2 linked regions of the Zea mays genome follow. The protein of the gene in region 2 binds, or shares a complex with, the protein of the main gene of each other region. Links are inferred from orthologs where the notes say so. Each region holds a gene or a part of one and is shown on either strand. Other genes may lie near its edges.

Region 1 (3,920 bases), on a different chromosome or scaffold from region 2:
GTGCAAATAGGGATGGCAAGGTGGATTTGGATCAGGTGGAGACTGTGGACTTGAACCCAGAACCCAAAACCACCCCAAACACCGTTTCAGGTGATAATCCAAACCCAAAACCAAACCCAGTGGATCCAAAAAAACCAAAAACCACCACTATATAGCAATATACAAAAGACATTAAGGAATTTCTAGTAACTCATGCATGATACATATTACATATTCACATATATAAGCAAAAGGCAATAAAGAACAAATAATTTCATGACTCAACTTAGAATAAACTTAATAGCTTACATAAACAAATTATTAACAAAACAAATGAGTTTTTACTTAAAATGTACTATTTTGGACCTCCATTATACATCCGCGGGTGGAAACCAAACCCAATAAAATTTGGGTCCCTAAACCCGAATCCACTGGACCCAAAATCATGCAGAGCACTGACCCAAAACTGCCACAGTGCCATCCCAAAGTGCAAAACAGTGCTTCTCAAATTTTAAGCACAAAAACAGTAAGAAAACAGCAAATGTTCCCAATTTCATAAACAGTGTTTTGCAGAAGGTTCATAATCTGTGAGTGCACAGGTTGTGTAAAGCTGTGTAACATATCAATGTAAGTTGATCAATTTCACCCAAGGAATACCAAAAAACAGGACAGTTCTAACATGGGTAACAATGAAAAGGTTTTAAAACATATTTAATCTTCCAATCAAGTTAGTGCCTGTTTGGAAGCATGTCGGTTTTTAAGAAACCATTTGCTATAAACTCGTTTTTAAATAAAAATTGGGTGAGGGTGTTTGGAACCCGGTTTCTAAGAAACCAGTTTCTAGTTTTTTGCATATGCATTGACTAGCCTAACCTTCCTCTATTTTAAAAAGTGGTGGCAATAGATGTAAATTCCATGAAATAAACAAGGGAATAATGTTATTAAACAGACAAAATTTGGTTTTAGCTAGGGGATGCAGGCTTCTTGGTTTTTAAGAAACTAGGAATCCAGTTTCTATAAACTAGAAACTAGGACATGAACTAGTATTGTTTGGAAGTACTCCGGTTTCATAAACCAGTTTCTAAAAACTGGGTGCTTCCAAACAGGCCCTTAGAACAGTGACCTTTCCATTAACTCATAAAACCACACTGCATGCCAACTTAGGGGTGTTTGAGATTATAATCCCAAACAAACACCCCCTTACTTTAGAGTTTTTAACTCAAGTTTAGTGATACCCAGCATAGACCAATTTGCACTGGATGAAGACAAAAAGCAAAAAAAAAAGTGCAGTTTTTTTCCTTTCTCCAAATCTTTTTCGTCAAGCACCAAACCAGAAGACCATAATGAAGCAGCATAGATTTCCAGCAAAATCATGAACCTATCATGTATAGGTCATTCTTTTTGAATTTGTAACTCGAGCAATTCAGCCATACTCGGCATAAGAGCATGTAATTTGCACTGGATACAGCTCCCTAATAAAGAAGTAAAACTGCAATCAAAGTGGTACACATCAGAATCCATTAAAATTCCAGTGCACCCTCACCAGCCTCTTCACCCCTTCCGGCACGGTTTATCCCACCAAGCACCTTGTAAGCCTCGGAGTGCACTGAATCCACACGAAGTGAATATATCTTGACCCCCGCCTCCAGTGTGCAGCTTGCCTGTTCCATAAAAGTACCACATTATTGCCAACAAATTCAAATACAGTAGACGAATCTCCCTCTAGACAAATTTGTACTAAGAAGGCTACAAAGAGAGGAGGAAATGGGAGATCTTTGCAGGTCGGTACCTTCTGAAAGTTGGTCTCCTCGTCCTCGTCCACCCCCGCTTGGATGATCTCGCTGAGATGATCGATTAGGCCTAGCTCCCACGTGTTCTTCTGGTTAATTTTCTGCCGAAATTTCCCCAGAAAGAACGCAACGAAGAAGCTTAGCGAGAGGAATGGAGCGGGCTAGGTTTAGGAGGCGGGCTAGGCACCTACGTTCTCCGATGCGAGCTTGATACAGTTATGGAAGAGGTCCATGACCTGCTCGCGGTTGAGGAGGTCGTGGCGCGGGTCCTTGGAGGGCGCAATGGAGGCGGCGAGGGATCGGCGGCGGACGGAGGCGGCACGCGCCGCCGCGCGGGCGCGGGCGCGTTCTTGCTGGTCGTCATTGGATCCGAGCGGGAACGCTGGAGGCGGAGACTGCAGCAGCACCCGCGACCCGGCCGCCGTCCAGCGCGCGGGAGGGGGGGTCTGCGGTGGGGCGTCCTCGGCCGGCGGCATCTCGTGCGGTCGACGGCGGCGGCGGAGCGGAACGGGACAGGATGGATAGAGGGGGTTGGGTAGGGAAAATTTTGGACCGTCGTTCGGGATCCCTCCCAGTCGTGATTTCAAATTTTGGGGGCGGATGCGCTGCGGTGCGGGAGCGGGGCCAGGGATGGGGTGGGTACTGTTGCTTTGGTTGAAAAGCAAGTAGAACGGAACGGTTATGTTCTAGTTTTGTTGTTATTTGATTACAAAGTAACTAGAACGGAGTAGCTCCAATTAAAGAATATTCTCCTTAGATTCAGAACCATCCTACTCCAAAAAATCAATGGGACGGAGCTGCTCCGTTTCCAGCTCGCTCACACAGCTCGCCCTCCCATCCGTGCGCAGCAGCTCACGCGCCTCCCTCTGCAACCAAACAAAAAATAGAGCCGCTCTGTTCCAGTTCACTCTACAACCAAACAAAAAATAGAGTCGTTCCTTTCCAGCTTACCAAACATAGAACAGAGCGCCTCCGTTCTAGAATCAGGGATCGAACAGCTCTGTTCTACTTGTCTCCTCAACCAAACACTACCTTTGTACTCCTTTTGTGAATTTCTTTGTGCGTCAAACGTCCCTCCAACTCAATTGTGCACAGCTTTCGTCAACTGCTCCTTCCACTCGCGCTGACGCCTACGTGTAACCGTGGCTCCTCTTCCTTGAGACCCTGCCCATTTCAAACTCACCCTTCCCCTCGCCCCCGGCCCCCACTATCTAGATATAGCCAAACGGTTAGAAAACCGGGCCAAAACATCCAAACATGTTGGCTCGTTTTCTTATCCGAGTCTGGCCCACTGCGGGCCTAAACGGATCGGACCGAGTCGGTAAGCACGAAAAAAGCGGGCTGAAAACAAGCTAAGTGGGCTGCTAAGCACGGTTTAGTGCAAAAAAAGGGCTTGACGGACTTAGAGGTAAACGAGTCGTGTCGGGCTAGCCCGTGGGGCTTAGTTTCCTGTCTGGGCCCGGCCCGCTTATTCATGTCGGGCTGGCCCAGGCCCGTATAAAAGTAGGCCAAACCGGGCTCGCATCGGGCCAAAAAACATGCTTCGGGTCGAGCTTTCATGCTAAAGGCTTTCTGTACATCTATACCGCTATCGGGTGCACCCTCCCCCTTGCTCATTCGATCATGCGCGAGCGTTGTCCTGCGTCGTGTCCCTTTACTCCTCATCCTCGCCCTCTACATATTTACACTCGTTCAAACCACTAATCCAAAGCCACCAGCCAAAGGTGCGACCTTTGACCCTGCACCAGTGTCGTGGTCATAGACGCCATCGCCTCCTCCTCCACCACCGCAAATGAGAGAAGCTCCACGAATGCGTCAACCAATCTATCATGTCTCCAGTTATCAAACCAAAGGGGGACCGAACGACCATCCGCCACTTTAACTTTGATATTGGAACAAAAAACTAGAAGTGCTTAGAGCGCATCACGCCACCAGAAGGGACATTTCTTTTGGACATTGGGAAACCTCCCCCGGCGGTAGTGATTACTCAAGACAAGATCCACCGAGGACTGATCAAGTCTATTAAAGGACTTGTTAAGAAACTTCATAAGGAGAGCCTAATTGTGGTGCCGCATGTTGATGACTCCAAGTCCTCCGACACACTTTGGTCTAGAGACCCAAATCCTACACGACAAGAGCATGCTTCTTAGA
Region 2 (3,820 bases):
TGAAAAGCTTTCTCGGATGGCTGTTCCCATCATGCCTCGTTGTACCCTTTTACCGCCACCACTCATGGTACCAGACTTCTCAAATAATTCACCGCCGAGGGTAACTACCCGACGGAACTCCTTTGCTGCAGTGTATGCAATTCGTGAAGCCTGACAAAGACAGGTGCTGAGATACCATTAATCACAGCACAAATTACAACTACAAGCAACTACGTTAGTAGGAAAAAGTTTAAGACCAAACAAATCAAGGATCAACCTGATCAAGATCATTTGCAACAACAGTATTCCCCAAGACATGGAAGAAGGCTAACTTCAGCTTCTCATCTTTAACCTTTACTAGATCAAAAAGGCGTGGAACTCCTTCAGGTGTTTTTACTTTCTCCTTAATTTTGTGAAGGAGGTGTGTTTGTTTTTCCTGTAACATAAGGTTCCAATTACAAAATGAAATTAACAGGTAAAAAAATGAAAACAAATAAGCACAGAAAAAAAAAGTGTTACCAGGATTAAACAAGTTACAGTTTCCTCACGGTTCCTTCTACGTAACAACTCAATACAAGCTTGCGCCGAATTTATTGTTTCAACCACAATATAATTAAGCCCAGATGAAGCTGATGTTGATATGGCCACGTCATATTTTGCTGCAGACCAGAGTTTCTAAAAAATTAAGATCCACAAATGCTTCATACAAGCTTTCAATCAACTCTGTATGATTGCATAATGACATTCGCGGATTCTAGCAGATACAACAATTGCTTAGATATTGGTGGCCATGGCTTTACAAACAAAATCTCCCTAACGGAACATACTAAAATGGAAGAATTAAACTACATAAATACTAATCCGTTTTGGCATGGTCAAAACAAAGTGCAGGTATTTGTCCTTGTTAGACTTTGTGTTGTGTCTGTTAGATTATTGGTGTGGTTACTGGCTTACTGCTGTAATGGCCGTCAGGTAAGTTTGAAAGTCGGCCAGTCCAGGTTTCGGGGGCCAGACATTGTAGCCGCACTGGCAACACGAAGTCGGCTTAGTCAGCTTCTGGGGGCCGCCTAGTCAACCTTGACGACCTAGCCTTTGATGAACGGCCTGGCCTGCTTTGCCACTATGGTTCCTAACCTGACCAGGTTTGGCTATCAGCCTGGCCGAGTTTGCTAAGTTCGTACCATATTCTCCTTGTTTGAGAAGTTCAGTGTTACCGAAATTACTATATATAGAAAAATTATTCATAACAGTTTATAACCGTTAGATCCACCTATTAAACATAGGGGTGTTTGAATGAACTAGAGCTAATAGTTAGTTGACTAAAAAATAGCTAGTGAAATTAGCTAGCTAATAAATATCTAGCTAAATATTAGCTAATTTGCTAAAAAATAGTTAATAGTTAAACGATTAGCTAGACTGTTTGGAACTTTGGATGTCTTCAACTAATTTTAGCAACTAACTATTAGCTCTAGTGCATTCAAACATGGCTTTAATATGTGCTGCCGAAGACATAACAGTTAGGCAACACATATCACAGGACATATTTGATTTTGTGGGCAAAGGGAGTATATCTTACCATCAATTGCACCAAGATCACCAAGCCTGCCATAAATCCCTTGTATTTCATTTGATTCCTTGGCTTGCAAAATTGCCTTCAGAGCAGTACTTTGGTTCTTCTCAGAATCCCTAGTGGTTTTCATCTCTGCAACTTTCTGCCTTGCTGCTTGTTCCAGAGGGATCAGTGAATCCTCCTGCTTTTGGCATTCCTGCAACAAATTTTGCAAGCAATACATTCAGGAGACTCAGCATACTGCACGTAAGTAATGACTAAACTTAAGGGAACCCAGTGCATGGGTTTTGTTCAAATTAAGCTGGAAGTAATTTACCTGTTCGATTTTGCGAGCTTCAGATGCTTCATTCAAATGCTTCTCTATTTTTTCTTGAAGCCCCACAATGTATGAATCCTTTGTTTTAACTTTCTCCTTTATACTTTCCATCTGATTTTGTGCATCAGTTAACTCTGCTTGTGCTCCATCATGCTGAAATCAGGGAACTAGTTTCAAACGTAATTGACAAGTTTGAAAAAAATCAAATTAATGTTTATCAAATAAACTAAATGGATAAGTAGATTTAATTATACAAAGCTTGCAGTGTCAGTGTCAGGCATGGTAAGCTATCGCACATAAAGAATTGAAGATATTTTGCTTGTGATCAGTGCATCATATATCTCCATCTAAAGGACTCAAAGTGAATTGAAGTACTTGACAGCAGTCTTCTTGTTTCCCAAAAAGTCTACCTTTTGTTTCATTAACTTTTTCTCCGCAGATGCAACATCCAACCTTCCTTTATGTTCAATAATTTGATTTTCCCATGGTTCAAGCTCAGTTCTTACTTGAGTAAGTTCAGCACGAAACCTCTCAGTTTCTTCTGTAATTACAGAAGAATAAAGTTCAGTTATCAGAGAATGATTCGGTGAACATGGATAGTAAAAGCTAACATCACCTCGAGAGGATGCTTTGATCTGCTCTAAGACTTTCTCTTCTTCATTAAGTCGCTTTTGCAATTTGGGTATTTCTGCCTCCAGCTGTGGAATGAGATTGGATGACTCCTCCATCTCTTTTGTTTTTTCATCACGTTTTGATGTATCCTGTGTTAGATTGTAGGTGAAACAATAGCCAGTCTTGCTTCAACTTTAATTTCAATGTTACAATTGAAACCGTTTCAGTATTACCTTTTCAGCTTTGTCATCCAGCTTCTTGATGTTCTGCTTAAGATGCTTTAGATCTTCCCTGTATTTTACGTCTTTCCTCTCAAACTCTTTAAACTGGTCTTTGCAGCTCTTCATGTTATTTTCAAGGTCCTAAAGACATAAAAGAAGCAAATAAAAGTAGGGCGCTATTAGTTGACTGTAAAAGGCCCATTCGCAATAACCTTGTGATAGAAAATAACGAGTTTTCTAACCTTCAAATATAGGAAATAAATGACTTCAATTCAATGATTGATTAGGTTACAGATATGGTAAGTTGAAACAATACCTCTTGCCTTTTGACATGTTTACTGTAAATAGCCTCCATTTCCTTCAGAGTTTGTGAATTCTGGTGTATCTTCTCCCTGTATAATAGTGAATATGCTTACTCAGAAAACATGTAAATGGGAGGGGGGACACTGTCCATCTGTAACAAATAACCTTTCAGCGGCAAGATTCTTTTCCAGGTCTGCCACATTCTCCTGACACTGATTAACACGTGAGATAGCATCATCAGAAGCCAGCTTCGTTGCCTTTTCTTGCCATTTCAGAAGCAAAAGTTCCTTCAGCATGTATGTTTCAGCCTCATTTTTTGCACTCTACAGAAAAATAACTCCATTAATAGTGCTTAACTGTTAAATGGTCAAATAGTGAAATCATAAACAATTAGATGATCACCTCTAAACTGTCTCTTTCTTTCTCAGCTAATTTTAGCATCTGCACTGATGCTGTTCTCTTTTCATTGAGCAATTCGAGTCTAACAGATCCATAACAAGGTAAGAAACTAAATCGTTGCTAAATATATACAAAGCACTAGTTATAACAGCATGCATTAAAAATTATGTCAGAAACTCACTGCTTGTACGCTTCTTCAATTTTTTCAACATACTGGTTTGTCCCTATTATGTCTTCAAGATACTCTAGAAAACCTTCATCATGTGGACCTTGAGCCTTTGGTTTCATTAGGGAGATTTGCTCAACCTCACCCTGTATAGTGCCCACTTCAGAAGTTATGCAATTGTAAAAGTAGAAAACATAATTGAAACTGCACAATAAATTCATGCAGGCTCAAACAAAGAAGCTATGAGAGATAAG

The links.
Region 1: structural maintenance of chromosomes protein 4 (region 2) and condensin complex subunit 2 share a complex: the UniProt entries of both Arabidopsis thaliana proteins name them as parts of the condensin complex. The link is inferred for Zea mays from reciprocal best matches to the Arabidopsis thaliana genes SMC3 and EMB2795.

What each region holds. Positions count from the first base shown.
Region 1 is NC_050098.1:234,338,870-234,342,789, reverse strand, and holds the start of condensin complex subunit 2, read right to left. Parts: upstream 2,331-3,920; 5' UTR 2,246-2,330; coding exon 1,961-2,245; intron 1,871-1,960; coding exon 1,769-1,870; intron 1,641-1,768; coding exon 1,523-1,640; intron 1-1,522. UniProt on the Arabidopsis thaliana protein: Regulatory subunit of the condensin complex, a complex required for conversion of interphase chromatin into mitotic-like condense chromosomes.
Region 2 is NC_050101.1:167,828,684-167,832,503, reverse strand, and holds part of structural maintenance of chromosomes protein 4, read right to left. Parts: intron 3,713-3,820; coding exon 3,582-3,712; intron 3,483-3,581; coding exon 3,404-3,482; intron 3,325-3,403; coding exon 3,167-3,324; intron 3,091-3,166; coding exon 3,015-3,090; intron 2,840-3,014; coding exon 2,711-2,839; intron 2,627-2,710; coding exon 2,482-2,626; intron 2,407-2,481; coding exon 2,276-2,406; intron 2,019-2,275; coding exon 1,866-2,018; intron 1,746-1,865; coding exon 1,556-1,745; intron 639-1,555; coding exon 499-638; intron 416-498; coding exon 257-415; intron 151-256; coding exon 1-150. UniProt on the Arabidopsis thaliana protein: Central component of the condensin complex, a complex required for conversion of interphase chromatin into mitotic-like condense chromosomes.